Linked DNA regions of Astyanax mexicanus. The protein of the gene in region 1 interacts with the protein of each later gene in a pairwise test. Links are inferred from orthologs where the notes say so. Each region holds a gene or a part of one and is shown in the gene's direction. Other genes may lie near its edges. The genes, in order: klhl2, bcam, tma16 and txndc12.

Evidence for each region.
Region 2: the proteins of klhl2 (region 1) and bcam interact in binary tests that used the Homo sapiens proteins (3 or more experiments, as listed by UniProt). The two-hybrid records come from large-scale screens. The link is inferred for Astyanax mexicanus from reciprocal best matches to the Homo sapiens genes KLHL2 and BCAM.
Region 3: the proteins of klhl2 (region 1) and tma16 interact in binary tests that used the Homo sapiens proteins (3 or more experiments, as listed by UniProt). The two-hybrid records come from large-scale screens. The link is inferred for Astyanax mexicanus from reciprocal best matches to the Homo sapiens genes KLHL2 and TMA16.
Region 4: the proteins of klhl2 (region 1) and txndc12 interact in binary tests that used the Homo sapiens proteins (3 or more experiments, as listed by UniProt). The two-hybrid records come from large-scale screens. The link is inferred for Astyanax mexicanus from reciprocal best matches to the Homo sapiens genes KLHL2 and TXNDC12.

The regions. Positions count from the first base shown.
Region 1 is NC_064432.1:10,036,917-10,044,504, forward strand, and holds the start of klhl2 (kelch-like protein 2), read left to right. Parts: upstream 1-4,467; 5' UTR 4,468-4,756; coding exon 4,757-4,815; intron 4,816-5,186; exon of another isoform or gene 5,187-5,209; intron 5,210-7,588. UniProt on the Homo sapiens protein: Substrate-specific adapter of a BCR (BTB-CUL3-RBX1) E3 ubiquitin ligase complex that mediates the ubiquitination of target proteins, such as NPTXR, WNK1, WNK3 and WNK4, leading most often to their proteasomal degradation.
Region 2 is NC_064413.1:3,418,660-3,426,488, reverse strand, and holds the start of bcam (basal cell adhesion molecule), read left to right. Parts: upstream 1-4,587; 5' UTR 4,588-4,723; coding exon 4,724-4,787; intron 4,788-7,829. UniProt on the Homo sapiens protein: Transmembrane glycoprotein that functions as both a receptor and an adhesion molecule playing a crucial role in cell adhesion, motility, migration and invasion.
Region 3 is NC_064432.1:9,699,784-9,707,318, forward strand, and holds the start of tma16 (translation machinery-associated protein 16), read left to right. Parts: upstream 1-4,214; 5' UTR 4,215-4,332; coding exon 4,333-4,335; intron 4,336-5,441; coding exon 5,442-5,554; intron 5,555-5,959; coding exon 5,960-5,997; intron 5,998-6,410; coding exon 6,411-6,495; intron 6,496-7,535. Other genes in the region: zinc finger protein 239, read left to right, coding at 227-1,369. UniProt on the Homo sapiens protein: Involved in the biogenesis of the 60S ribosomal subunit in the nucleus.
Region 4 is NC_064415.1:56,283,334-56,291,382, reverse strand, and holds the start of txndc12 (thioredoxin domain-containing protein 12), read left to right. Parts: upstream 1-4,726; 5' UTR 4,727-4,768; coding exon 4,769-4,865; intron 4,866-5,968; coding exon 5,969-6,029; intron 6,030-6,470; coding exon 6,471-6,523; intron 6,524-6,795; coding exon 6,796-6,869; intron 6,870-6,994; coding exon 6,995-7,064; intron 7,065-7,746; coding exon 7,747-7,830; intron 7,831-8,049. Other genes in the region: zmp:0000001127 (interleukin-12 subunit alpha), read left to right, coding at 956-1,168, 1,282-1,368, 1,979-2,101, 2,901-2,942, 3,045-3,179. UniProt on the Homo sapiens protein: Protein-disulfide reductase of the endoplasmic reticulum that promotes disulfide bond formation in client proteins through its thiol-disulfide oxidase activity.

The DNA.
Region 1 (7,588 bases):
GTTTATGAAATATATAAAAAGAAATGTATGAAGTGTATGATATGTTAGGACGTGTCCCAAACCCCTCTGTTCGTACCCCGTGTATGTTTCTATGTCTTTTAAAAAGACACCTGGCGAAGTCTGTATCACGCATTTTTGTATTTTTGAATACGTGTACATATGGGTTCTATTTTGTTTAAGATTTCAGAAAGAGAGAGAGAGAGAGAAATATATACTGTTTGAAAGTAACATTCAGCTGCTGTGAGTTTGAATGACTGACCAAGAATAAATACTGTAGCAACGGAACGAATCCCTTGTCTCGCCTTGTTTTTGATTTGTTCTGCTTCAAACAAACTTCCTAGGGGTGGTCCTGATGAGTGCCAGTTTCACCATTCAACGTTTTAGATGGTCTTTGGGGTGACTGCACTTGAAGTTCTTGAATTTGGTAAAAGAGTGTATAAAGAGTGTGTAAAAGAAACACACAGCATTTCTTTATATACCGTTCTTAAAAAATACAGAGATTTTACCAGTTTTTACTGTATATAAAAACGTGACATTTACACAAAAACACACAACAAAGCTTTATTTTTCTATTTCAAACAAAATTCCTGGGGTGGTCCTGATGAGTGCCCACATCATCCCACACTTTTGATGGTCTTTTGCGGTGACTGCCCTTGGCTGCCTATGGTAAGAGAGTGGAGTTTACACAAAAACACACAACACAATTTTTTTTATACAGTTTTCAGAAAATACAGAGATTTTACCAGGTTTTACTGTGTAAAAGAGTGGAATTTACACAAAAACTCAACACAAAATATATATATATTTTTTTTTTCAAATTTTGTTTTTCACAGTTTTTCACTTTTTTTTCCTGCTGAAAACAAAATTGCTGGGATGGATCCTGATGAGTGCCAGTTTCACCATTCAACGTTTTTGATGGTCTTTGGGGTGACTGCACTTAAGGATACTTTTTAAAGTTTTTGAATATGGTAAAAGAGTGGAGTTAACACAAAAACACAACACAAAATAAAAAAAATAAAAAAAGTTATTTTTATTTTTTTTTAGTGATTTTTATACAGTTTTAAAAAAAATAGAGATTTTACCAGGTTTTAATTTTATATAAAAGAGTGGAGTTCACACAAAACAACGCAACACAACACAAAATTTGAGAAAATCACTACTTTTTTTTCCACTGTTTTTTTTTACAGGGTTGTCCTGTTGAGTGCCAGTTTCACCATTCAACGTTTTTTTGATGATCTAGGCAGTGACTGCACTTGAGGATACTTTTCAAAGTTTTTGAATATTTAATTATTCATGTTTTTATTTTCAGATTACACACGATATATCGAGGGAAACAGTTACTTTGCAGTAATTGTCCTTTATTAGGTATATTTTGCAATATAGAAAAATATAGTGATTTTACCAGGTTTTACTGTGTATAAAAGAGTGGAATTTACACAAAAACACAAAAAATATATATATATATTTTTTTCACAAACAAACTGATGAGTGCCAGTTTCAGCATTCAATGTTTTTTGATGGTCTTTGCAGTGACTGCTCTTGAGAATACTTTTCAAAGTTATTTATTTATTTATTTATTTCAGATTGACTGACCTTCATTTCTTAAAGTCATTTTTTCTTTACTTAGTTGACTACGCTTGGCCATAATTGATTATACACGAGAGGAAGTGTCTTAACGTGTAACATTGGAATAATTAAGCGCCATTATCAGCCGGTAATGCACTGTAAGTGAAGCTCTCCATGTTTCCACAATATCGCAATGTAATTGTTACCCTGCAATGTAATTGGCTGAGAGGTGTTCTACGAGTGCCGTTGTCAGCCAGTAAAGCACTGTAACTGAAGCACTCCACGCATTACTCCTCTGCATACAGGTAACCTAGCAACGATGCAGGGGTTACACGCCAAACAGCGCAGCTACAAACAGAGCAGAAATGGCACAGCAGTGACAATATTACACATTATAGCACGAACATCAAGTGTATTATTGCGATTATACCACAGTTCCATTATCACTGTTTATTGCTGATAACGACACTCATAAATTTCCTTAAATTTTCTATGGGATTAATAATAAAGTATCTATCTATCTATCTATCTATCTATCTATCTATCTATCTATCTATCTATCTATCTATCTAATTAATCACATTGCAGGGTAACAATTACATTGCAATTATTGTCCTTTATTGGATATATATTGCGATATACAAAAAAAAAATGCAGAAATTTTACTAGGCGTCACTGTGTAAAAAAAAAAAAAAGAGTTTACTCCATTAAGAATTTACCCACAAAAACACAACACAACAATATATATGTATTGCAATATCAAAAAATACAGAAATATTTTACCAGTGGAATTTACACAAACACGTGACACAAACGATAATGCTCATCATTCTTAAAAAGGAGGAGAAAATATGATCTGTTTGGTTATAAAAACTCAACGAGTTAAAATAGTTCCATTGCTGCTCTGTTTGTAGCTGCGCTGTTTGGCTTGTAAGCGCTGCATCGTTGCTAGGTTACCGGTATGTGGCGGAGTAAAACATAGACAGCTTCGGTTACAGTGCATTACCAGCTGATAATGGCACTCATAGAACGCCTCTCAGCCAATCAGATTGTAGGGTCGGAACTAACTGTGGTAATAATATAGATTAGAACATTACTCAAATATGGCTATTTACTGTATACCACCAACTCTACTTTGCTACTTTGAAGAATGTGAAATATAAAACATATTTTCGTTTGTTTAACACTTTTTTGTTTATTAAATAATTCCATATATTTTTCTTAATAGTTTTTATGACTTAAGTATGAATCTACACTGCAGAATTAAAAAATAAAATAAGAACTTCAATATGGATTCAAATATGCTGCAGATGCAGCAACACCACAGACGACCACTAGAGGTCAGTGTTTCTACAACTTACAGAAAAATGTATTTTTCTTTTTTTTTTACGTGTATTAAAACCGAATAAACCAAATAATGTTTAGATAAAAAAAAAAAAAACATCTGTTCCACTGTACGAAAAAACAGCTCTGGAGAAAAAAAAGACCACTTAATAATTATGAGTTTCTTTGTTTTTACCAAATTGAAAACTTCTGGAATATAATCAAGAGGAAGATGGAGGATCAAAAGCTATTCATCAAACCAAACTGCTTGAATTTTTGCACCAGGAGTAAAGGCACAAATCCATCCAAAAGCAGTGTGTAAGACTGGTGGAGGAGAACATGATGCCAAGATGCATGAAAACTGTGCATAAAAAACAGGGTTATTCCACCAAATATTGATTTATGAACTCTTAAAACTTTATGAATATGAACTTTTTTCTTTGCATTATTTAAGGTCTGAAAGATCTGAATCTTTTTTGTTATTTCAGCCATTTCTCATTTGGTAGAATTTGGTAGAAATGTTATCCATAGTTTATAGAATAAAATAACAATGTTCAATTAACTCAAACATAAACCTCTAAAAATCAGAGAAACTGATTCAGAAACTGAAGTGCTCTCTTCATTTCTACCACAGCTGTATATTTGTGATATCAAAATATACAGAATAAAAACATTTTATTAAACAAAGTTTTTCACTTACTGACGTAATGTGAATCTTTACATTGTTGTTCCTTACAGTGTATCCAAATCTCGTAGTGGATAAACTAATGGAAACGTTATAATGACTTAACGCTAATGCTAATATGTTAGCTTAGCCAGCTACGTTAGGTAGCCAAGTTATAGGTAAGGTGAAGTGGAGGTGGAATAACACACGACACAAAAAAAAAATTAAAAAGACACAGAATATTGCACGGGAAATAGCAAATTAACTAAATACGATAAGAATAAAAAATACAAATAATATGAAATAATGTGAAATATGTCACTATATTGCTGCTACAAATCGTGTCTTCCAAAATCCAAATAGTGGATAAACTAATTGAAATGTTATAACGACTAATATGCTGATGCTAATAAGTTAGCTTACAAGACACAGTACATTAAAAAGACACAGAAAATGGCACAGAAAATATCAAATAAGATAAAATTAAAACAAAAGAATGCCATGCGATCGGTCATTTCTTATAGGGGACACAATTTGTTTAATTAATTTTTACATGATAATAAATTGTATAAATGTGACACACGAGATTTGTAACCATATTCGACTTAAAAACTTTGTTAAAAAAAAAAAAAAAAGGAAATTAAGTAAAGCTGCCTAAATTTGACCAGTACATGTTCTGAATATATGTTAAATATATGTGTTCCATAGATCCAGAGTTGAAAAAAAGATTTTTAAAAAAATTAACTTTAATTTGGAAATTTAATTTGGTGGAATGGGCCATATATTTTTGATATATATATATATATATATATATATGTATGTTTTTTTTTATGCTGAAGGTCCTCCCTGACTGTGGGGGAGCTGTGGTGCGGGTCTGCTGGTGGGTAAAAGCAGTGTGTGTGTGTGTGTGTGTGTGTGTGTGTGTGTGTGTGTATATGAGTGTGTGTATGTAAATTAGTGTGTGTGAGAGTGTGTGCTGGAGGTTCCGTGTTTTCTCCCCCTGAGCTGCTCTGAGGGGGTTTATAGAGGTGAATACAGGACTCAGTGAGTGAGTGAGAGGCTGGGTGAGTGAGAGCGGGGGGCCGGGAGTTTACCGCGGGCTCTGCGGGGACATGGCTGCTGCTGTCCGGCTGCACTAGCGGCGCCTCTCCCGGGGAGCCGCTGCGGACTGAACCGAGCGGAGCTGAGGATGGAGCGGAGCTGATGGTGTCCGGAGCCGCGGCCTGCCCCAACACCCCCACCGCCATGGAGATACAGCCCCTGTAAGAGCTCCCATATACACACACACACACATATATATATATATATATATATATATATATATATATATATATATATACACACACAAACATGTACATGGAGATACAGCTCCTGTAAGAGCTACCATATACACACATATATACACACACACACATATATATATATATATATATATATATATATATATATATATATATATATATATATATATATACACACACACACAAACACATACATGGAGATATAGCCCCTGTAAGAGCTCCTATACATATTTACACACGTATAAATACACACATATACATGGAGATACAGCTCCTGTAAGAGTTCCCATATACACACATATATACATGTATACACACATATAAATACACACATATACGTGGAGATACAGCCCCTGTAAGAGCTCCTATACATATATACACACACATATATATGGAGCTACAGCCCCTGTAAGACCTACTTTACACATATATACTAACACACATTTGTACACACACACATTATTTATATTAATATATAATAGTGTGTATATGTATATGTGTATATATATGTAACTCACATGTAAAGACACACACACACACACATATATACACACACACACTGTCTGTCTGTGTCTGACTGTCTGCTGGTTGTCATGGTCAACATGTTCACGTGGGTGTCACATGCTAGAACTTTGGCTATTTGGATTCTAGGTAGGTTCCAGGTAGGTATAGGCTCTAAGACCTGGGATTGGGACCATCATTACTACAGTCCACCTTAATCTGACATACTTAAGTATTAGACACCCCAGCCATCAGGCTCATGTGGGTGTCACATGGCTAGAACATGGGCTAGATGGGTTCCAGTTGGGTTCCAAGTGGTAATAGGCTCTAAAGACTGGGACCATCATTACTAGGTCTCATCTTAGTATTGAGCATCCCAACAAACCTGTTCATGTGGGTGTCACATAGCTAGAACATGGGCTAGGTGTGTTTCAGATGGGTTCCAGGTACATCCAGGTGGGTATGGGCTCTAAGACTTGGGGCTGGGACCATCATTACTACAGTTCACCTTATTCTGACATGGGTCCCATCTTAGTTTTGGTGATCCCAGCCAACAGGCTTGTGTGGGTGACACATGCTGCAACATTGACTATGTGGGTTCCAGGTAGATCCAGGTGGGCGTGAGTTTTAGATACATGGACTGGAACCAGGTGGGCTTTCCAAATGGCCACATCAACACCACAGACCATATGGGTGTCACATTGTCTGGAACATGGTATAAGTGGGTTCCACACCCAGGTGCGTATAGGCTCTAAGTACTGGGACTGACAAGGGTTCTATTATAGGATTTGACATAGTAACCAACAGACACATGTGGGTTCCAGGTGGTTATAAGCTCTAAGAACTGGGACTAACATAGATCCCATCTTAGTTTTGCACATTCCAGCCAATAGTCATATGGTCGTCACAAAGCTAGAACATGGGCTGGGTGTGTTCCAGGTGGTTATAGGCTCTAATTACTGAAACCACCATCCCCAAGTCCTATTTTAGTATTGGACAATCCAGCCAACAGGCTCTTATGCTTCCAAGGGTAGAACATGGGCTAGCTAGGTGGGTTTTAGATGGGTTCCAGGTGGGCATAGGCTCAAGTACTGGGTCTAGGAGTGGCACTATCATAACTACAGCACCCCTTAATCGCACATAGGTCCCATATTAGTGTTGGAAATTCCACCAATCGTGCTTTTCAAATGTGCTTAATCAATACCACTGACCACCTTAATCTCACATGGGTTCCAAATTATTATTGAGCATCTCAGCCAACAGGCTCATAAGGGAGTCGCATAGCTAGAACATGGGCTAGGTAGTTTCCAGGTGGTTATGGGCTCCAAGTACTGGGACTAGAACCAAGTTGGCCTAATCTCACATGGCTCACATTTTAGTATTGGACATCCCAGCCAACAGGCTCATAAGGGAGTCACATAGCTAGAACATGAACTAGGTGGGTTCCTGGTGGGTTCCAGGTGGTTATGGGTTCCAAGCACTGGGACTGACTTAGGTCCCATCTTAGTTTTAGACATTGAAGCCAATAGTCTCATGTGGGTTAGATCATGGGTTTGGGTGGGTTCCAGGTGGATGTAGGCTCTAAGTACTTAAACACCCATTACTAGGTCCTATCGTATCATTGGAAATCCCGGCCACATGGCTAGAACATGACTTAGGTGGGTTCCAGGTGGTTATAGGCTCTAAGTTCTGTGACCATCCCTACTAGGTCCCATCTTTCGTATTGGACATCACAGCCAAAACATCCCTGTGCTACCAAAGATAGGACATTGGCTAGCTAGGTGGGTTTCAGGTGGGTTTCAGGTGGTCATGGGCTTAAAGTAATGGGTCTAGAACACAGATGTGGTAGTTACTGAACTGAGGTCAGTAGGAAGACCTCACTAAGACTAAGACAGATGTGTTTATCTAGCTGACTGGCCTGTGCTGCTGGGCTTGCTGGTTGTGTCATCCTGACAGATGTTCAGTGTTCGTCATGTCGGTGCTCTCAGGGCAGCAGATCAGACCAGATGTCTGTGTCACCATATATAAACACATATATAAACACACAGCGTCTGTCAGACTGCTGATCCTCAGATGCTCTCAGAACAGGGCTGTGTGATATAGCTAAAAACTATTATACATCACAATATATATTTCTTAATTACAGTCGATATGGTATAATTCTGATGCCAATATTAACAGTATAAAAGCCGTCGACTGTGGTTTACATAATCACACACACCCACACGGATAG
Region 2 (7,829 bases), on another chromosome or scaffold:
ATTTGAATGTGTGTTTTAACTAAAATTATATAATATTATTGTATAAATTAAGTAATTGTAGTGAGGTGATATTGTATGCAGAAATTAAATAAATGATACTAAAAGAAAGGATTGATTCAGTAAAAATAAATGAAGTAAAGTTTAATAAAAGAAAGGATTGACTGAAGTTCAGTTCACTTATTTACTCTATATTTACTCAAGTCTTGAAACCGAGCTGAAGCTACTTAAATTTATCTGAAATTAAACTTACTTAAAAAAGCAAATGTAGAAAGTTGCAGGAAATTTAACTACACTGAAAAAAATTACGAGTAAAATTTACTTAGATTTTAAGTAAATTCTAAGTAAATTTTACTCTTAATTTTTTTCAGTAGTTAAATTTCCTGCTACTGTAAATCAATTATAGAATTATAGAAAAGCACAAATACTATGGTTCCATTCCATCACATTCCTACACGAAAATACAAAATAAAGCCATAACTGTCGGCCATATTGTCAAATTTGCAAATAGAGTCTGTAAAATTGACCAGATGAGGAGTCAGATTCACCGACTCACCTACTGCTAGTTCTAGCAGGAAACTGCAGTGCTCGTCACTTGTCACAATCTCAACCAATCACCAGCTTCCACCTGTCTTTATAAGACTTTATAAGACTTCCTGTTAAAACTGCCCCTGTTCTACCAGTCCAAGTCTCAGACTCAAGTGTCTCAGACTGCCTTCATTGAGTTTTCAGCACAGACTAAAGGACCAGAAACAAAGCAGATGTAACAGTAAAATGCCGTTTCTGTATTTTATTATGCTATAGTTTATATTTGCATTAAGTTACAGTAGAGGAGAGACTCCAAGTGGTCAAGTAGACCACCAAGGTGATGCCACTATGATCAGGAGATCGCTGGTTCGAATCCTGTTCATGTAGGCGGTGGTTGACTTCACATGGGTTTCACCCTGCTGGTGTGTTGGGGCAATAACTAGGGAGTCCTATAGGGGTTTGGGTAATTGGCTGTGTAAATTGGGAGAAAATGGGATAAAAATTAGCATAACTGCATACACAGCAAATCAAGCATGATATTATGATTATCTATAAGTTTCTATACCCATTATCCATATATTTCCATATAGGATCACTGCACACTTTATTATCCTTATCCTTGTATCAGTTTTGTAATTATTATTTTCAATACACCAGGTTTTGAGACAGGGCCATTGTCTCATACAGATATTGTTTTTCTTTAATCTTACACAGGAAGAAGTCTATACTTGAGGCGTGTCTGAAACTTTACCAACGGAAGAGGAAAACCAAAAAAAAGCCCTGTGATAAATAGATAAGCATTTCCAGAACCCTGTAGGATCTGAGAAACCTCACCTCACAACAAAGGCTGCAACTGCACATAACTTACAGGAAGTGTGCAGTCATTACTTGAAGTAACTGAATAATGCAAAAGAGCATTTTCATTATTGCAAGGGCAGTGGAATTTATTATGTGTTATGTAATAACATTATTTAGAGGTGGGTAGAGTGGACAGAAACAGAACTGGTGTAAAAGTACTTTTATTTATAAATAATGCTTACTCAAGTAGAAGCAAATAAAAACATCTTGCAACATCTTGCTGCAGATGCTCTTTGCACAATGAGAGGCTCTATGGTAGAGTAATGCAGAAGAAGCCTTTTCTGAGCACACGCCACAAACAGAGTCGCTTCAGGTATGCTTAAGCACATTTGAACAAGCCAGCTTCATTTTGGAATAAGGTGCTGTTGAAACTTGGTTTATTTGGAGGGCAGTTATTTATGCATGGCAGAAAAAGAACGCAGCGTTCCAAGATAAACACTTTACTGCTCCCCACAGTAAAATTTGGTGGTGATTCCATCATGCTGTGAGGCTGTGGGACCAGTGCAAGTACTGAGAATCTTGTTAAAGTTGAGGGTTGCATGGATTCCAGTCAATATCAGCAGATTCTTGAGAACAAAGTTGAAGAATCAGTGAGAAAGTTGAAGTTAAAGCGCCGGGGCTGGATCTTTCAACAAGACAACGACCCTAAACACTAAACCCTAAACACTGCTCAACATCTACTAAAGCACTAAAGTATTCATGCAGACGAATAAGTACAACGTTCTGGAATGATCATCTCAGATCATCTCAGTCCCCAGACCTGAATATTATTGAAATATAATCTGTGGTGTGATTTAATGCGGGCTGCTGTTCATGATCAGAAACCTGAATCAAACCTGACTGAACTGGAGATGTTTTACAAAGAAGAATGGTCCAAAATACCTTCAACCAGAAGCCAGAGTCTCATTGGAAGCTGTAGGAAGAGTTTAGATGCTGTTATTTCTGCAAAAGCAGGATCTACTAATCAATTAAATATTGATGTCTTTTTCTGTTTGGTGCCTTTATTTAATACTTTATTTACAGTACCTGTCAATTTTCTCCTACATAGTAAATAAATAGTGGCGTGATCTATCAGACTATAAAGGACCACATAAGGAAGTATGTAGTAAATTAAAAGTGTTAAACAAACCAAAAAAGGCCGGTAACTCTGAAGAACTTATCCTATACAACCGAGAAACTCTTGCTCTTCCTTTCCCTGGGTGATCCTGATGAGGGCCAGTTCCATCATAACCTTTTCGATTATCTTTTTATTTATTATCAAGCTAAAAATGAAATAAAAAATATTTTCGGTGTTTGTTCGAATAAGTGAATAAGTCTAATAACTCATACTAAAATGTTGTGTTTAATTGGTTTAAAGATCTGAAACTGTGAATAAATCAGGGTGAGAAATTTTTTTCTCAGCTCTGTATACACAGTGTATTCATATAGTTAGAGAGAGTGTTTATGCTGCTCCACCACTGTAGCGTAGCTCCGGGGGGAGGGTCACCTTTTGTGTAAATATATCAACCAAAGCCACTGCCGCCCTCATCAGATTTCCAAAAGAGAGAGAGAGAAAGAGAGAGAGAGAGAGAGAGGTGTAGGAAGAAAGTAAGTGAGGGACCATCTCTAAACACAGTTTACAGCATACAGTCTATTACTCGTTATATTTCTTCTGTCCTATTATCTTGTAAAAGTGTTAAATACAGCTTTGGGATTACAAATGTGAATAATTATCATGCTAATAAATGTAGTGGTAGAGAGAGTGAGAGACTGGAGCTAGCTAGAGGTAGAGAAAGAGAGTGATGGAGGTAGAAAGAGAAAAAAAAAGTCGTGAGAGGAAAAGAATGCCAAAAAGTGAATATAGAGGTGGAAAGAGAGTGAGAGAGTGGTTAAGAAACAGGTAGAGAGTGGTAGAGGTAGACAGAGAGCGAGAAAGTGATGGAGAATGAGAAAGCATTAGAAGGATAGAGGTAGAGTAAAGCCCTATCAGGATGGGATTAGTTTCTCAGGGGGTTCTGGGGTAATTTTCTCTTTTTTTGGAGGGTCCTCTGTGATTTTATTCCCGTCCAGAACGACCATATATGTGTTTTTCTCAGACGTCCTCTGAGATAAAAAAAATTACAGACTAAATTGTCTACTGTTTTAATACTGTAAACACAACAGCGAGTGGAAATGGAGGAGCTACTGAACGTGATGTCATGTGACCGAGAAAGCCAAAAAAACTCATTGGTCCTCCTGTTTTTCAATTGCAATTGAGTAAAAGTGTGAAATATTTTTCACAGACGACCCCCTGAGAAATTAATCTTGTCCGGATAGAGCTTAAGTGAATTTAGAGGTAAAAAGAGATTGTATTGTATTGACTGGTTTTATAACTGTGTAAATATGATGTGCCCTCAAAATAGAACGTTTATGAGAGTGAGAGAGTTAATTAATGCTCGGGCAAAACTGTAATTTACTATGTATATATATATATATATATATATATATATATATATATATATATATATATCAATACAATGATATCAAATATCAATTACAATGATAATTAATGTCTAATTTAAATGTATCAAATTATTTATGTATATGTGAATTGTTTATGTATGTTATAACTGATCAATTATTATTCTTTATTTTCTTCAATTAATAATTTAATTAATTAATGCTTTGGCAATACTGAGAGAGTGGTAGAGAGAGAGAGAGAGAGAGAGAGAAAGAGAGAGAGGTAAAGAGCAGTAGAGGTAGAAAGAGAGAGAGAGAGGTAAAGAGGTAGAAATAGTGAGTGAGAGAGTGGTAGAGAGAGAGAGAGAGAAAGAGAGAGAGGTAAAGAGCAGTAGAGGTAGAAATAGTTAGCGAGAGAGTGGTAGAGAGAGAGAGAGAGAGAGAGAGAGAGAGAGAGAGAGAGAGAGAGAGAGAGAGAGAGAGAAAGAGAGAGAGGTAAAGAGCAGTAGAGGTAGTAGAAAGAGAGAGAGAGAGAGAGGTAAAGAGGTAGAAATAGTGAGTGAGAGAGTGGTAGAGAGAGAGAGAGAAAGAGAGAGAGAAAGAGAGAGAGGTAAAGAGCAGTAGAGGTAGAAATAGTGAGCGAGAGAGTGGTAGAGAGAGAGAGAGGGAGAGGTAAAGAGCAGTAGAGGTAGTAGAAAGAGAGTGATTGGGTGAGTGAGTAAAAGAGAGTGGTAGAGAGAGAGACAGACAGGAGGGAGGGAGGGGGGTGAGAAAACAGCGCTGGTGGGTGTGTGTGCGCGCGCAGTGCGGAGTGTGTGTGTTGGTGTGTGAGGCTGAGAGGAGTCTTCTCACCGAGGCGAGACGGACTGAAGAGCCGCAGCGGAGCAGCAGGAGAGCCGGAGAAGTTTGTAGAGGAGCAGCGATGGCGGGAGAGACTCTGAGGAGCGCGCTGGTGGTGCTGGTGGTGCTGGTTTTGTCACTGGAAGGTAAGAGCAGGACTTTCTCTGGGCTTTTTATTCTTTTAAGAGACTGTCCCCGGTCTCCTGCGTGCGCTCTGAGCTTCACACACTTAGTTTTTAAGCTTTTATCCGGTTTCTGACAGGGAATGTATCGAGTCAGCGTGTTTTTCTGTGATTGTTTGGTATTTTGGATATTTTGGTTGGTTTGGCGCCACAACCTGTTCCTTACAGAAGCGCGCACGGCTTGTATAGACAGGCGCGCGCTTTAAATGGCTCGAGGCGAAGGATTTTTTCCACAAAACGGATTTAAAACAATATGAACAACCCAAACTTGCGGAGTTTAATTCGGTTTAGTCCAGATTAGGATTCTAAGGAGGGTTAAATGCCAGGAGGGTTGTGTTGTGGCGTTTTACCCTGTCCTGCAAAGACGCGGAGGCTCCGTTCAGCGCGTGCGTGTGCGCGCATGCACTGCACTGCACAGTGCGCGAGCGTGTGTTTGTGTGTGTGTGTGTGTGTGTGTTGTAGCGGCCCGTCTCTTTGAGGTTCAGAGAAGCTCGAGGGACAAGAGCCACACCGAGAAGAGAGATATATAAAACAGTAAAAAGAAAAACGAGAAGTGAAAGAAAGTGTGAACAAAGGGACAGAGGAAGAGAAGAAAGTGATGGAAAATTAGCGAGACGTCGAGGAAAAGCAGAAAAAGACAGACAGAAAAGTCAGGTGTGCAAAGATAAAAGAAACAGAGAGAAAAAAAGAACTGTAGAGAAAGAGAGAAGAGGAGAATAGAGGGAGAAAGGGGTGTAGAGAATGATATAAAGAGTGGTGTAAAAAGAGAGGCGGGTGTAGAGAAAGAGATTCAAAAAGGTGTAGAGAAAAAGAGATATAAGGAATGAGAGAGGGGTAAGAGAAAATAGAGAAAAAGAAAGAAAGAGTTGTAAAGAATGAGATAAAGAGTGGTATAGAAAATGTGAGTAGAGATGTGTAGAGAATGATATTAGGGAAAGAATGAAGAGAGGAAACAAGAGAGAGAGAGAGAGAAAGGGGTGTAGAGAGTGAGATAAAGAGTGGTGTAAAAACAGAGGTGCAGTGAAAGAAAGAGGTGTAGAGAATGAGAGTGGGAAAAGAGAGGAAGAGAGAGAGGTGTAGAGAATGAGATAGTGGTAGAGTGGTATGGAAAAGAGGGGTGTAGCGATTGAAGAAAGAAAGACATGCAGAGAAATAACAAAAAAGAGAGAGGGGAGAAAAAAAGAGTGTGAAGTGAAAGAGGGGTAGCGAAATAGAGTAAAAAGGAGTGTAAAGAAAGAGAAAGAGAGAGAGAGAGGAAGATGTATGAAGAAAAATAGAAAGAAAGATAATTTGGTGAATTATTGTTGGTGTTGTTTTGCTGATGGTGTTCTACTGCCTGATGGACCGATCAGAGAGAGAGAGAGAGAGAGAGAGAGAGAGAGAGAGAGAAATAGAGAGAGGGAGAGAGAGAGAGAGAAAGATAGAAAGAGAGAGAGACAGAAAGAGAGAGAGAGACAGTTTATGACACTCAGACTTGAGCAGTGCTAAAGAACACAGTCATTTTTAAACAAACACTTCAGTCTGATCAGCAGCACCTGGACAGACTGGGCTCAGGAACAGCTGGAGCAGCGCAGCTGTTAGATGAGGGTTATTGATATTAATCCTGGCGTTGGATCAGGATTAAGCCTTGGATTAAGCCTAGACCTGCCAGTGGTTCCAGTTGTGACCATTACAGATTATTCCCAGTCTAGATTTAGACTCAGTTTCAGAATCACTGGAATTATAATAAAACGAAGACCCTTATTTCTCTCAAATTTGGTGCAATCTGTCTTTTCTTTCTTTTTTGGTTTTCGCTCCCTGGCCGCTCCCCTCTGCGTCCCCCCCCCCATACCCCTTCGAACCCCCTGCTCCTCCTTCCCTCTCTCTCACTGCGCTTCTTTTTTATGCCTCTGCCTCTTTTTTTTCTGCTTTACTGTCTGTTAAATATATAGTACTGCATGATATACAGGGGTTGGACAGTGAAACTGAAACACCTGGTTTTAGACCACAATCATTTATTATCCTATCGTGATTTGATCAGCCGTGGTTTTATGTTTTTTTTGGATACAATCTGGATTAGCACCCGAACATCCCTTTCAGACAGCTTCCTCTTACAGCGTCCACAGTTAATCCTGTTGGATGTGGTTGGTTCTTCTTGGTGGTATGCTGACATTACCCTGGATACCGTGGCTCTTGATGCATCACAAAGACTCGCTGTCTTGGTCACAGATGCTCCAGCAAGACGTGCACCAACAATTTGTCCTCTTTTGAACTCTGGTATGTCACCCATAATGTTGTGTGCATTGCAATATTTAGAGCAGAACTGTGTTCTTACCCTGATAATTGAACCTTCACACTCTTACAGCTCTTACTGGTGCAATGTGCAATTAATGAAGAATAGAATGAAATAGCTTTATGACGTGTTTTCTCAAGGGCCATCTTGGAAACATCCACTCTTGGTGTTCGTAAGTTGTGAGGTGCTATCTTGTGAGGTTGAAAAGATGCCAAGTTAGCAAGTAATGCTAATGCTTTGTAGGTTATCGAGTTTCGAAGATATAAAGTTTGAACAAGGCCTGATAGATGTCATAGAAGGCACTGTCCACACCCTGCCACTATGATTGGGAGATCACTGGTTCGAATCCCAGTCATGCAGCTTGCCATCAGCTGCCGGAGCCTTGAGAAAACACAATTGGCCTTGCTCTCTCTGGGTGGGTACAGTAGATGCCGCTCTTTCCCCTCATCACTCCAAAGGGTGATGTGGATCAGCACAAGGCTGCGTCTGTGAGCTGATGTATCAGAACCGAGTCACTGCCTATCAGCTCTTTTTTATTGTATCTGCTGCTTTCCATCAATTTGCCTTCAAACTCTCCTCCAACACATGTTCTCCACACCTGTTCCTGCTGTTTAGGAGTTTCTCTCTCTTTCTCTTTCTCTCTCTCTCTCTCTCTCTCTCTCTCTCTCTCTTGCTTTCAATATTTCACACTCACCACGTTATCCATCCTCTCTGCAACCACTCACTTATTACAA
Region 3 (7,535 bases), about 340 kb from region 1:
GGTCTAACAGTATATCCAGCCCAAAGTCAGTCTAAACCCCGTCCTTCAGAAGCTTAAACTAGCCCAAAATATCTGTAGAGAAGACATTTGCGCTCGCTGCAAAAAAATGCTGTAGCATGTTTGTAGTATTTTTTTAATAATACTAAATCCGATTTTTTATGTATTTTTCCTCTGCAGGAACGATCAGCTTCAAACTCTTCAAATTAATTAGAATTAATGTGAGAATATGGAATCTGAAAGCTCTGATACTCTGCAAACTTCATTTGATTCTTCCCACATCAACACATCTCCCAGAGTAATGCAGGAAATGTCAGGCGAAGATAGAATTCACTACAGCGCTGAGTGTGGAAACAGTAATTTTTTTTCTGACAGTAATGATCTTCAGATACACCAGCTTATTCACTCTAGAACAAAGCTGTATCAGTGCTCTGAGTGTGGAAGCAGTTTTTCTGTGCAGACTAACCTTAAGAGACACCAGCGCATTCACACTGGAGAGAAACCGTATCAGTGTTCAGAGTGCGGGAAGAGGTTTACTCAACAGAGTCACCTCCAGCTACACCAACGCGTTCACACTGGGGAGAAACCGTATTCCTGTTTCGTATGTGGGAGGAGCTTTTCTCAGCAGAGTCGGCTCCAGGTCCACCTGCGTGTTCACACTGGAGGTGAACCACTTCACCAGTGCTCAGAGTGTGGGAGGAGTTTTATGGACAGGCGCTGTCTCCAAGTTCACCAGCGCATTCACACTGGACAGAAACCATATAATTGCTCAATTTGTGGGAAGAGTTTCAGTCAACAAGGCCACTTCCAAATACACCAGCGCGTTCACACCGGGGAGAAACCGTATTACTGCTCGGAATGTGGGAAAAGTTTTCAACAACAATCCCATTTCCAAAACCACCAGCGCATTCACACTGGAGAGAAACCATATCTCTGTTCAGAGTGCGGGAAAAGCTTTGCTGTGAAGTGCGGCCTTCAGAAACACCAGCGTCTTCACACCGGTGAGAAGCCACACCAGTGTTTAGAGTGTGGGAAGAGTTTTACTGACCGACGCAATCTTCTCGCTCATCAGCGCATTCACACTGGAGAGAAACCGTACTGTTGCCCAGAATGTGGGAAGAGTTTTACTGTACAGAGTCATCTCACGGTACACCAGCGCGTTCACACGGGGGAGAAACCGTATTCCTGTCCAGTCTGTGAGAAGACTTTCGCTAACAAAGGAAATCTGAACGTGCACCAGCGTATTCACTCTGGGGAGAAACCGTTTCAGTGTTCAGACTGTGGGAAGACATTTAGAGAGAATGGTTCACTTAAGAAACATCTGCGCCTTCATAAAGGGAGCAAAGATGGACAGGATCGAACAGGAGTCTGACGTCTCTGCTGTACTCCGGTACTAAATAAAAAGCTTTAATAACCAAGGCCTAGTTTCTCTCGAAGCATCTTAAGCCCTGTCCGGACGGGATTCGTTTTTTTAGGGGCACTTCTACTCAGTAATAAAACTCTTGCATCCGGACTCCTATTGAAAAAACAGGAGGAACAGTGACATCGTGTTCTCCATTTCCACGCACTGTTGTGTTTTACATGGATCTCCGTGGAAATGCGCACCCAAAGTGTAATTACGGTGCGTGGCAGTGGACTATTTTATTAAACGTGAGCAGACGAAACTCAGAGATGTGCGTCCGGATGGGACTAAAATTACCCAAGGACTATAATTTTCGTCTAAGAAAAACACGTACATGGTGGTTCCCAACAGGAACAAAATCACAGAGGAATAAAAGATAAAAGAGAAAATTACCCCAGGACCCCCTGAGAAACTAATCCTGTTCGGATTGTGCTCATGCATGTGTTTTTCTCAGACGTCCTCTGAGAAAATTAAAGGCTGAACTAGATTGCAGTTCCTACAGAAACTGCGAGTGTGATTGCAGTGCTGGCCGGGGTCCCCAAAATGTTGACCAGTAGCTCTATTACACACAGTACTGGGGGGCCGGGGTGTCCAAACATTTGGCCAGTGGCTCCATTACACACAGTACTGGAGCTCTGGGGTGTCCAAACTTTTGACCAGTGGCTCCATTATACACAGTACTGGAGCTCTGGGGTGTCCAAACTTTTGACCAGTGGCTCCATTACACACAGTACTGGGGGGCCGGGGTGTCCAAACTTTTGACCTAATGCTGTTTTATCCCATAGCTGCTCCATACACTCACAGTACTGGAGTTCTAGCTGCTTATTATTAAGTAAACTGCAATCTCATTATTTTGAGATAGCAAGTCATTATTTAGAGAAAACAAGTCATTATTTTGGGATACTATCTCAATATTTTGAGATACTATGTCATTGTTTTAAGATAGCAAGTCATTATTTTGAGATATCAAGTAATTATTTTGAGATAAGTCATTTTTTGAGATAAGTCATTTTTTGAGATACTAAGTCATTGTTTTGAGATAGCAAATCATTATTTTGAGATATTTAGTCATTATTTTAAGATACTTAGTCATTATTTTGATACTATTTCATTATTTAGACATAATAAGTCGTTATTTTGAGATAGCAAGTGTGTTTGCTTTTGAAAAAAAAAATCTTTCAAAATAATGAATTACTATCACAAAATTATGAGATAGTATCTCAAAATAATGAGATGGTTCCTCAAAATAGTGACTTACTATCTCATAAAAATGAGATAGTATATCAAAATAATGATTTAGTATCTCAAAAAATGAGAAACTATCTAAAAAATAATGAGATAGCAGTTTACTTAATTTAATTACTTTATTTATTTATTGGCTTCATAGTATTCTGTATATTTGATCCGGTTAGTTTCGGTTTCACACTGCAGTTTAGTGACGGAATAAAGAACTTTACTACATCCTGTCGTCATCATCAGCTACATGAGTCTCTCTATTCTTCATTTTAATTATTAAATGTTTATTGTAATTTTAATAGAAAATATTTAAAATATTTATAAGTAAATCTGCAACGGTAAAAATAGAATAAATTTAAATTATATAAATGGTGCTTTCCTTAACTTTATTTTCAAATCAATATTTTCCAGAATACAAATTGAACATTTCCTGTTTGTCTAGATTTTAGCCTATTTTTAAATGTAAGAGTTTCTTAAGTTTAAAAATAGAAAAAAATCTGAAATCTGTCATTGCTTGTTTTTTTGCTATCTGGTTATTTAATGCATTTTTTCATCTATAGTTACTCATATACTGTACCAGTGTGTATCAATAAAAGGCTATTTATACTGTACGAAAGTTGCTGTGCCTTTGACTCCATGATCCTGAAACGTTTCTGTTTTATAATATTTCTATAAATAACATTATGGAGGCCAATTACTGAAGTAATTAGACCGTATTAGTCTTACAGTCACATATGTCATTACCAAACATTGTTAAAATTGTGTCTGAATATTTATCTGTACAAATCTAGCAAACATTAAATAAAAATAATAATAACATGAAGAATATTTTTTATTATTTAAAAGAGAAAATAAAAACACTGTGCACACATGATTTTATATAGTCCTGTCAAAAGTTTTGAAACACCTCTTCTCATTCAGTGTTTTCTTTCTTATTATAATTTCAAAATCAATTTTACAATGCAAATTTTATATATATTGATTTAATATATTTAAATCATTAACATTTTACAGGAACATTTGCATAATTATTATGTAAAAAAAAAAGAGTTTTACAAATCAGAATATGTTTTTAATCAATCTCGGTAATGCAGCGCCTTTACTGCCTAAAAAAAATTAAATATGCAGGATAGAATTTATAGAATTTATTCTTTAAGTAAAATATTTTATTATACTTTATAAAATTAAAGGAATATCGTAGAAGTACTTTATTAATATGTTTATTTGAGTTTTTAGCCGTTCGCTCTCGTGGGCTCCCTCTACCTTTTCTCTCACAGAATAATGACTGATAACCGATAGTCCGCGAGTTATTTACTCTTTGATTAATTCGATTTTTAATTTACTTATTCATGTATTAATTCATATATACATGCATTTAATTATTAATTATTTTATTAATTTATTTTTTAATCTGTTTATTTATACATTTACTTATTTGTGTATGTATTTATTTATACATTTACTTATTTGTATATGTATTTATTTATACATTTATTTATTACAATGTTAATATAAACGCTCCTCTCTCAGCGCTAAGGATCTGTTTAGTGTTCACTATCGGGAAGCGGAACCATGTTTGTGGGGTTATAGTTGAGTTTGTGAGCGGGGGAACAAAAATACAGGCGGACCGAAGCGCGTTTCTGTTCAACACGTGTTTGTCCAGGAGCGCAGCGCCGCCGACCAGCAGCAGCAGAAATATGGTCAGTATACATTACATATTTACTCACTTACACACAAACACACACTGCTGTAAGGTTGGTGCTGCTGTATAACCCCCCTGTGCTGTGTTCTCTCTCTTTCTGCTGTATAACGTTAACCCCCCTGTGCTGTTTTTTCTATCTCTTCTGCTGTATACCTCCCCTGTGCTGTCTTCTCTCTCTCTATCTACCTGTGCTGCTGTATAACTTAACCCCCTGTGCTGTGTTCTCTCTCCTTCTGCTGTATATCGTTAACCCCCCTGTTCTGTTCTCTCTCTCTCTCTCTCTCTCTCTCTCTCTCTCTCTCTCTCTCTCTCTCTCTCTCTCTCTGCTGCTATATAACCCCTCTGTGCTGTGTTCTCTCTCTCTGCTGCTGTATAACCCCCTGTGCTGTGTCCTCGCTCTCTCTGCTGTATAACCCCACTGTGCTGTGTTCTTTCTGCTCTATAACGCTAACTCCCTGTGCTGTGTTCTCTCACTCTGCTGCTGTATAACCCCCCTGTGCTGTGTTCGCTCTCTCTGCTGCAAAATAACCCCTGTGCTGTGTTCTCTATCTCTCTATCTACCTGTGCTGATGTATAACCCCTCTGTGCTGTGTTCTCTCTCTCTCTCTATCTACGTGTGCTGCTGTATAACCCCTCTCTGCTATGTTCTCTCTATCTACCTGTGCTGCTGTGTTCTCTCTCTCTCTGCTGCAGTATAACCCCTCTGTGCCGTGTTCTCTTTCACTGCTGCTGTATAACTTAACCCCCTGTGATGTGCTGTGTTCTCTCTGTCTCTATCCATCTCGGTTGCTGTATAAACCCCCTGTGCTGTGTTCTCTCTCTCTGCTGCCGTATAACCCTCATGCTGTGTTCTCTATCTTTGCAGCTGTAAACCCTCCTGTGCTGTGTTCTCTATTTATCTCTGCTGCTGTATAACCCCTCTGTGCTGTGTTCTCTCTGTCTCTATCTACCTGTGCTGCTGTATGACCCCTCTCTGCTGTTCTCTCTCTCTATCTACCTGTGCTGCTGTATAACCCCCCTGTGATGTGATGTGTTCTCTCGCTCTATCCATCTCTGTTGCTGTGTAACCCCCCTGTGCTGTGTTCTCTCTCTCTCTGCGTTCAGCCTAAAGCAGGGAGGGCGAGGGGGGGCGCGCAGGAGAAGAAGGTGGTCCACCCCTACAGCAGGAAAGCGGCCTACATGGCCAGAGCTGAGGCCAAACTCACCCGCAAAGAGAAGTAAGACCTCTGTGTTCTTTTTTTTTTTTCTACCCTCACTAATTTAGATAATGTTATTATTCTAACTATAGAGCAGGGCATGGACCTCCATAGTCCTGCTTAGAGTGGGAGCACATTTTAATAACACTGCTTAAAAAATCCAGCTCAAGACCAGCAGGTCATCCTGAAAAAAAATGATGGTACTTTTGGCAGTGTGGACAGTGTTCCAAGTTCTGCTGGAAAATGAAATCCACATCTCCAAAAAAAGTTGTCAGCAGAGGGAAGCATGAAGTGCTGTAAGATTATCGGGAAAAACACTGCACTGACTTTGGCTGAACAGTGAGTGAAATCTATAATAATGTTGTTTTGAAAAGTATTTGAATAATATGTTGATTGTTTTTTTTTTTTTTTTTTTTTTTTTTGCAGAGTGAAAAGTGATAAAGCCAGACGTTTAAATTTAATAGGTGAGTAATTCCTCTATTTACCTACCGTATTTTTCGCACTATCCACTATCCACTTCCATCATAATAACTAGAAAAAGACAGAAAGACAGGAAAAGAAACACAGAGAACTCTCTTACTATTGTATTATTCTATTATTATTCTAACTATTAAAAGTTTCAGTGTTTTCGAGAGTTTAGAGGTGAAGCCAGAGAGGAATGAGTACTGTTTCCTACACTTTCAAAAGACTCTTATAAACTGGAGAAAACTGACACTTCAGGAAGAGTCACGTCTGGCTGACCCACATGGCAACAGCTTTAGCCTTTAGCTTAGCTTAACATTAAAGTGAAGAGAAAAAATAGAGGACTGAATGGACTGTTTAGGTGAGAGAAGAGAGCACAGTGTGTTAAGGATCTTGTCTCTGTTCTTTTTTTCAGGGGAGAAACTTTTGTGGTTCCAGAATCAGCTGGACTCAGGGAAGCTAGAATACTCCAAACAGGAAGCTTGTGAAATGATTGAGAGGTAAGCTAACTGCTAATGCCACCAAACTGCTATTCGACAGCGATACACCGAGGAACCCTGAGTGTTTTGGTAAGACAGGGTAACAGTAAAAACGCAGACTACAGTGTGAGATATACTTACCTCTGAACAGCCAAATGGCTAACACAGTTAGTGGGTATTGCTAATGTTGCAACAGCAGTGCTAGCTAGTCGGGGTTAGCAGCAGACTACAGGCTAATAATACTCCCCTCTGAATTGCCAAATGGCTAGCGTTTAGCAGCTAATGCTAATAAACTACTGGAGAACTTAACTGAAACTCCTGTATAACTCAGTACTTCAACAGAGTGGCTTTACTGCTCCTTAATACCTGACTGGTAAAATTTATACATAAGGTGCACTGACAATTTTTGGGAAAATTGAAGTATTTTAAGTGCAAAAATACAGTACTTTGGTTGCGATAATTTGGGAAGTCCAACAATCCCCTTAATATCTTGAGAAGCCCTTACAATCGCCTACAAGGTGATGACAGAACAGGCTCCTTCCTACCTGCACTGATCACTCCTGAAGGCTTACGCTACCTCCCGGCCGCTGCGCTCCTCCAATGAACGTCGCCTCGCTTTACCAAACAAACATTCACACAAAGCAAACCAGACTGTTCTCATACAGAGTTCCCCAATGGTGGAACAAACTATCTTCCACTACCAGATCAGGAGAATCTCTCACTATCTTTAATAAACTCCTGAAGACAGAGCTCTTCAAAGAGCACTTACTCTCCTAACACCTCTAACTAACTACCTTCTACTACCAGATCAGGAGAATCTCTCGCTATCTTTAATAAACTCCTGAAGACAGAGCTCTTCAAAGAGCACTTACTCTCCTAACACCTCTAACTACACTGTAAAAAGTGAAGCATGGAGCTGTTCATTCAAGCTAATAAATATGATTGAACACATAGTACAATTATTGACTTTATTGTGAAACTCAACCTTTTTGAATTTTGATGTGTCAATTTTGATTCAGACTAAATTAATTACAATTCTGAAGGAAATAAACCAAATGTTT
Region 4 (8,049 bases), on another chromosome or scaffold:
TTGCATCTGATTGGCTAGGCCATTTTTGCAGCTTCTTGCCTTCTTGCCTGAGTTTTGGGCAGTATTTTCTGGTCTGAGGATCTGAGGGTCTGAGCATCACTTCTAAAACATCTTTGTCTGGCTTGTTAGATTTCTTACATTAACACATTTTTAATGTGGCAATTGTGTTGTTTTTACAATACTGAATAATACTGAAAGGTTAGTTCCGACCCAGCAATGTGATTGAGGTTGATATGCGCTCTGTGAGAGCCATCATCAGCCGGTAATGCACTGTAACCAATGCTCTACATGTATTACTCCACCACATACAGATAACCTAGCAACCATGCAGCGCTTTCAAGTCAAATAGCGCAGCTACAAACGGAGCAGCAATGGAACTATTTTAACTCAGAGTTCTTGATATTGACTTAATTGGCTTAATTTTGAATCAAATAACATTCTACTGTTGAGTTTCATAGTTTTGAGTTTCATAGATTACCAATTGAGTAGGAGAGAATTTTGTCTAGTCACTGTCGGATTGAAGCAGACTTTTAATGGGCTACTCAATCAACCGACAGTAGTGTAGACAAGAATCTAGATTTGCCCAAAGTCAGAGTAGGACCATTTATTCTGGATTATCATTGGATAACAACTAAATTAGGTCAGAATTAATCAGTTCAGTGGTGTATATTCCTGCTGAAACTGGGCTACTGTTGGTTTGGGACAAAATTAAGCCAGACCACTGTCAGGTTTAGAGAGGATGCTCCTGTGCTAAAGTCACGCTGGGACAGATTTACTGTATGTCAAACTACAAGCAAGGAGAACTACAGTCGAGTTATGGCAGAGTTATTACAAGTCAAGCTTTTGGCAGCCTTAGAGGGAATTTTGTGGCCCTGCAGTTGAGTTTTGACAGATTTACTGTAAGTCAGACTACTGCCAGGTTCAAAGAGGATTCTGATGGGCTACAGTAAATCAGATGAAGGTTGGTTCAGAAAAGAGTTTTGTTAGAATAATTTTTTTTTGTGGTTTATTTGCAGACTCCTTCCTTCTGCTCCTGTCTTCCTCAATATGGAGGCTGGGAGCTCCAAATCCTGTGGGATCACAAGCATCACCACTCCAGCTTGATAGAAACACTTGCAAGGGTCTTGCACGCTCTCTGCTTTGGAACGTGACAGAAACACTGGCAGACGTACATGAGGCTCAATTTAAACTCCTTAAATCTATCTAAACCTATTATAAAAATTGTTTGATTGAATGATGGAAAACCAATAAATTAAATGCTCTACTGTTGTCTCTGCGTAGGACCAACTGTTCAGGGGACTGAACTGCACAGACCAGAGTGCCGAGCTGCATAACAGGACCCAGACGGTAGCAGTGTGCATTCCACAGGTGAGAGGAGTAGAGAGGTTCTGTACTAAATTAAGTCAGGGTGGTTTAAGAACTGAATATATACAAAGATATGGATAGATAATGGGGTTCCAAGAGGGGATTGGTAGTTTTCTGCCTTATATTTGGGCAGTGCAACATTTATAATTAAAATACAGCTATCAGTGTGTAGTCTTTCCCCACAGACTCATCCTCCCTTATAAAGTTTTTTAATTTATATTATATTGCACTTGCCTGGCCTAGTTTTTCACACCTATAATAGCATGTTAGAACTCAAAAGCTGTTTAGCGTGACTGTTGGCTGAATGCTACAAAGACCACTCATGTCTTGTGAATTGTTAATTGTTAAGTCACTTATGCAAAAATATGATATTATTTAACGTAATCAATTTAAATTAAGTGTAGATGAATATACTAGATGAAGTACACTCAAGAAACTAAACAAAAACAAAATACCTTCCATTCTCTATTCAACAGCATTCAAAATGCTCAGAGGGCCAAGACTACACTTTCAATCAGGTACACTGTTTAAGTCTGATATAAATAAATAAATTACAGGTTTTCTTGACATTGCTTTTGCCATCATGCCTTGACACCCTGTTTATCTGCTGTAGGATGCATGCCTCCACAGTGTTCTGGAAGATCTCAAGCAGTTCCGAGCAACGTTTAAAGCCTACAGCGATCAAGGATATGTCCTCAAACAGACGGTGCTTAGCAGCATTGATGACCTCATGCAGGTAAGGATTGGACAGTTTGCACTGATTGGTTATTTTATTATCTAGCATACCACAAACAGTAGGTGCACTTTTAGCTTTTGTATGAGCTTATATACTTATATACGTCTTCTAGCACACATTTTGCAACCATCATGCTACCACAAAATCTGAATGGTCCAATAAAATATGCAGTGTAGAGTAGGTTAAATAAGCATTAATACACTCGAGGTTCGTGCTATAATGTGTAGTACTGTTACATATTAATACATGTTATAGCACAAACCTTGAGTGTATTATTGTGATTATACCACAGCTCCATTATCACTGTTTATTGAAAGATTTTAAAGATTTAAAGAGGAGGAAATAGGATCTGTTTGGTTATAAACACTCCGCCAGTTAAAATAGTTCCATTGCTGCTCTGTTTGTAGCTGTGCTGTTTGGCTTGTAAGCGCTGCATCATTGCTTGGTTACCTGTATTTGGGGGAGTAATATATGGAGCGCTTCAGTCACAGTGCATTACCGGTTGATAGCGGCACTATTAGAACACCTCTCAGCCAATCACATTGCAGGGTCGGAACTAACTGTGGTATAATAAATCATAATTAACACAGAGTCAGTAGACTAGACCAGAGACCAGTAGACTAGACCAGTCCAAAAGCAATAACTTCAAGTCAGTCACTCCAGGATCAGAAATAGGTATTCTTCCTTAAGGAACTCTGGTTTAAAGAACCATTTGTAGCATATTTTTAGGAGTTTACTCCAATAAAGCTAGCAGTAACACTAAATATACTAATCTTCATTCTTTGTTTTGTACAAACAGAACTGCTTCTCTGCCACACAACTGGACAGCTCTCAAACACTGGTAAGAATAATTTGAGACTTGTTTATTCAAACATTACCAAATGAACGATTTATATTCTTTAGTTTCAGTCATTCATCACAGATGTTCTGCTGTTGCTCACAGGTTTCCATGGAACATGAAAAATCCTTCAAGGGAAGACTGAAGCTCTGCAAAGTTTTGAAGGCCTTCCATATTCGTGTTATCACCATCAACCGAGTGGTGAACCATATCCTGACTTTGGACGCAGGAGCCAATTAATAATCACAAAGTTATAATTGATATGTGATATTCAGGCAAACAAAAAAAAAAATATGTTTTTGTCATTTTGACAAGCACAAGTTAGCCTCATTGTTTTAGGCTTTATGATATGCAGTACTGGTAGTGATAGTATTTAAAACTCTTATTTATTTATCATATTTATTTATAAATTATTTAACATTCTATATAATGTATTGTTAAATACAACTGTTTAAAGTTTAGAAATGTTTAAAATGGACTGCTGTACTGCTTTAATACCAAGTGCTGAGAGTTTACCAAGTGTTTTGTCTTCGAAACAATAAAACCTGCTCAATGCAAAATTACATAATTGAGATTAGTGATGATTACAGTTTTAATACTGTTTCAGTTCAATCCTGAAACAAGATGCATATATCTACCAGTGATATTGATCATTTTTTTGGGTGTGCATAAGATAGAGGAGAGAAATGAGAGAGAAATAAGAGAGAGATAAAGAGAGGAGAGAGAGAGAGAGAGAGAGAGAGAGAGAGAGAGAGAGAGAGAGAGAGAGAGAGAGAGAGAGAGAGAGACAGAGGATGTGAGTTCAGCACCCTGGAGAGCGACTGACGGTCCTGGAACAGTGATATCTTCCTTTTTAGAGAATTTAATTTCAGTCCATCTTTGAAAAGTAAATTACATTTATTAGGTTTATTTAAAAAACTTTTTATATAAAAAATATATATATATTTTAGCTTTATTTTTTATTTTAGTTTTAGTATTTACCCAAATTTGTAGCCTCTGACAGCATCTTTCATGTACACAACTAGTAATTTCTCAGTACTAGCAAAAACAAAAAGCCAAATGATTAGAGCGTTATTTTTTTTTTTTTCATCAGTTTTGTTCAGTCTTTGGTTATTTATCTTTGGTTATTTATATATGTTAGTTAAATGTTTTATGTTTAACATCTACAAATAATGATTTCATTTCAGTTTTAGTTTGACCAACTAGTCTAACTTCCCTTTTCTGCTGACAATCTGCACTGCTATTACTGAAGTGAAATCAGTGCAGGTAGGAAGTAAAAGTAATTATTAAATACTAACACAGTATATATATATATGTAAATATCTTGATATTTTTATAAAAACAGAAAAAAATAAATGCCTAAATTAATTTACTTTGACTCAAATTATACAAAATATTATTTTTTTAGCATGATGTCACCTTGCTGCATATCTTTTCAATTTCTTAATTGATTGATATAAACGGTTGCTAATGACTGATTGTGATTTGGATATTTTAGTGTCTGGAAAAAACGGGAGTAAATATAATATAATTATAATTCCATGTTGTTTCAGGGTTGTCAATGACCATTTGGTCATATAGTTAGCTATTGTATCTGATTAGAAATAAAAAATAAAAGAGGTACAGACCTGTCAGTAGACGTTTAGGAGAATGTGGGAGTTTGTTGGGGGTTGTGGGAGTTTGTTGGCGGTTGTGGGAGTTTGGTGGGAATGCGCAGATGTTCCTCATGAACCCATGAACTCCTGGACTCCGTCCCCCTCAGGCAGCTGCTGGATCCGCCGCAGTGGCTCCCTCTCTCTCTCTGTCTGCGTTAAGGCCTGAGTGAAACCATGCAGTCCTCTGTTCTCAGCGTCGCTTTGCTCTCGTTTCTACCATTTTTCATCGCCACGCATTTTAAAGGAGTTTCTGCTGACGGGAGCGGGAAAGGTAAGGCTAAGTCTGCGGGGAAAACACGTAGTTAAATACGGCTGTTTGGCTTTAGCCTGTTGGCTAACCGTCAGTTTGAGGCAGCGGTAGAGAATCCAGGTCCGTGAAATTTAAAAAATACGCTCCGGGATTTTATTCCAACTGCATAGACGGTTCTGCTGCAGTTGAACCGCCTGTGCAGTTGGAATAAAATCCTGGAGCGTCTTTTTTTAATTTACGGACCCGGATTCGTTACCATGAATTGAAACTGTATGTACAGCGATTTCAGTTTTAGTGCAAGATGTATTTGAACATCAATTAACATATCGTAGCGTAAATGAGCTAAGTAACCATTAAAACGGCTTTTTTTAAGTTTTATACGCTGTTGGGCGAAAAGGTTTTTTAGCGTTGGGAAACAGCGAGTAAAAAGAGAGCTAACCTAGCTAGCTAACCAACGCTAGCTATGCTTATTATTAAACTTATTTAAATAACTTAGCTAGCTAGGTTAATCTAGCTGTTTTTAAATAGAGAGCTATATATAAGTAAGTTATACACCACGGGCTAATTTTAATGTGTGTAGTTAGCTATGGTAACGTTAGTTTATCTTATCAGGTTTAGCTAAGCTAAGCTAGCTAGCTTAACTGTATGATTAAACATATTTAATAAACAAGCTAGGTTGGTTAGCTGTTGTTAAATAGATTAATGGCTATAAGCACACACCACATGTTCATTTTAATTTGTGTAGCTATGGTAGTTTAAGTTAAATAACTTAGCTAGCCAGCTAGCTTCTCATTGAGGCTTTTGCTAAGGTAGCTAGCTAGCTAAGCTAACTTTATTATTAAACCTATTTAATAAGCTCGCTAGATTAACTTAGTTAACTGATTTTAAATAGAGCTATAGCTATAAGTATACACCACGTGTTTATTTTAATTTGTGTAGCTATTCTAGTGGTTCTAACTTAGCTAACTGGCTAGTTAACTTCTCATTGAGGTCTTAGCTCAGGTACCTAGCTAACTAGCTAAGCTAACCTAGGTTAGCTAAGTGGCTAAGGTAGGTCTTTGTTTCTGCTTCAGACTGTTCCTGATTTTTAATCTTTCTGCACTTTAACTCGTCATTTTCTTTAGGATTTGGAGACCACATCCACTGGAGAGGTCTGGAGGATGGAAAGAAAGAGGCTGAGGCAAGGTAGGATCATGTGAAATTGTAGTTTAATCATAGCTAGGTTAGGTAACAAGCTACTTATTTACTTCCTTATAGCTGCTTATTCAAGTAGACTTCAGATGGGTCCATGCTGCTCCATAGTGATGTGTATGTATTGTGTTAAATACAGTGGTGGAAAGTAGGTCTGCATCTTATGACTATTTTAGTAGTTGACTAATGCTATCCATACACTAGATGACTACAAAAAACTCTGAAATACTTTTAATAGACTAAAACATCTAAAGACAAATCACAGACTTTTTAGTCATAGACTAAGATTTTGCAAAGACTGGGGATCTTTTAGGGTCACTATTTGCAAGACTGCAACTAGATTCTTCCTGAGATTATGTTATCGATTTTTATTATTGTTGTTATAAATGAGAAGACTTAAACTAACTGGATTTTTATCATTTCATCTCTTCACAGTGGCTTGCCTGTTATGGTCATCATCCACAAGACCTGGTGCGGTGCTTGTAAAGGTAGGTCAATATTTAATCCATGTGGTGTTACTCACGAACAGATTTTGTTGAGCAGTGTTTCTCAGCCCTGACCCTGCTCATTTTATTGTTTACCCTGCTTCCAATACATCTGTTTAGACAAATTAACATGCTGTTCCTGAGTTGAATGTTTAACAGAATGTTGGAACCTGCTGTTGTAACATCATTACTGGTCTGAAAAACACAAAGCATGTAATGATTTTGATGTGATTTAGCTGAAAAGTTAATAATGTAATTTTAACTTTGTCTTTAAGCGCTGAAACCCAAGTTTGCTGAATCTAAGGAAATCTCAGAACTGGCTCACAACTTTGTCATGGTTAACCTGGAGGTAAGAGCTTAAGGCACTGTTCACCTCTTTTAATGAATGTAGAAAACATGGACAGTGCAAATGTATCACAAAAGTGAAGTAGTAGACTGCTAGTTTTATATGGATCTGTACTTTTTTATCTAAAGGATGAAGAGGAGCCCAAAGATGATGCTTTCAGCCCAGATGGAGGTTACATTCCCAGGATACTGTTTCTAGGTAAAACACTAGTTTACATGTGGGAGACGGGTTCAATTCCTGGTCTGGGTGACTATGCTGTGCTAGACCAATAAGAATCCATGGGCAAGACTCCTAACACTACATTGGCCCACCTTTGTAATAGGAATAACCTTGTAAGTCACTCTGGATAAGAGCATCAGTAAATGCTTCCCTGAACAGTAGACAATTACTCCAAATAAACTTTCTTTTTAAATACCCTTGATTTCATATTATGTTTATTTGGCAACAAGAAATGGTTCTAAATCTAGATTTTCAGTAATTAAAGTTAAAATATTTTTTGTTTATTTATAATTTTAATCATTTGAACTATGGACTGTCATGTACAGTTTGTTATTCTGAAAAAAGTTTAGCTATTTTTATATGACTGAATTTTAATCAGTTTATTTATTTGGAGCTTATTGTTTGTAATTACATTCCAGTCCATAAAGATGAAAATGTGTAAAGGTCTAAAAAATAAATAAAATTAACTGCATTAACAAATTGAGGGTTCTTCAATAAAAAGGTCACTAACCACTTCTTATTTCACTGGTTTGACTGTGGGCTTAAGTAAATTGAGACAGGCTGCTACACTATAATGTAATTTAGGACAATATCTTGCACTATTGCAGGGTGAAGGCTGGAGTTATGAGTGGTGAAGTAATGATCATTTATTCTCTTGTAGATCCCAGCGGTAAAGTCCACCCTGAGATCACAAACAAGAACGGAAACCCAAACTACAAGTTCTTCTACAGTAATGCAGACCAAGGTAAACACGTGCAGAAACACCAACACTGTATTTAAGACCACAGCTTTTACCACTAAGGCTTGTATGTGGCAAGACTGACAGCAGTGGTTTGTCTGGAATGCAGTTCTGCTTTTGGAGCTGCTACCATGTTTAGCCATGTTTAGATGTTTTTTTCCTTCTGTCTTGTGAAAACTATCCTAAATCTCCATTTTTTTTTGTTCTGTGGATTTAGTGGACATC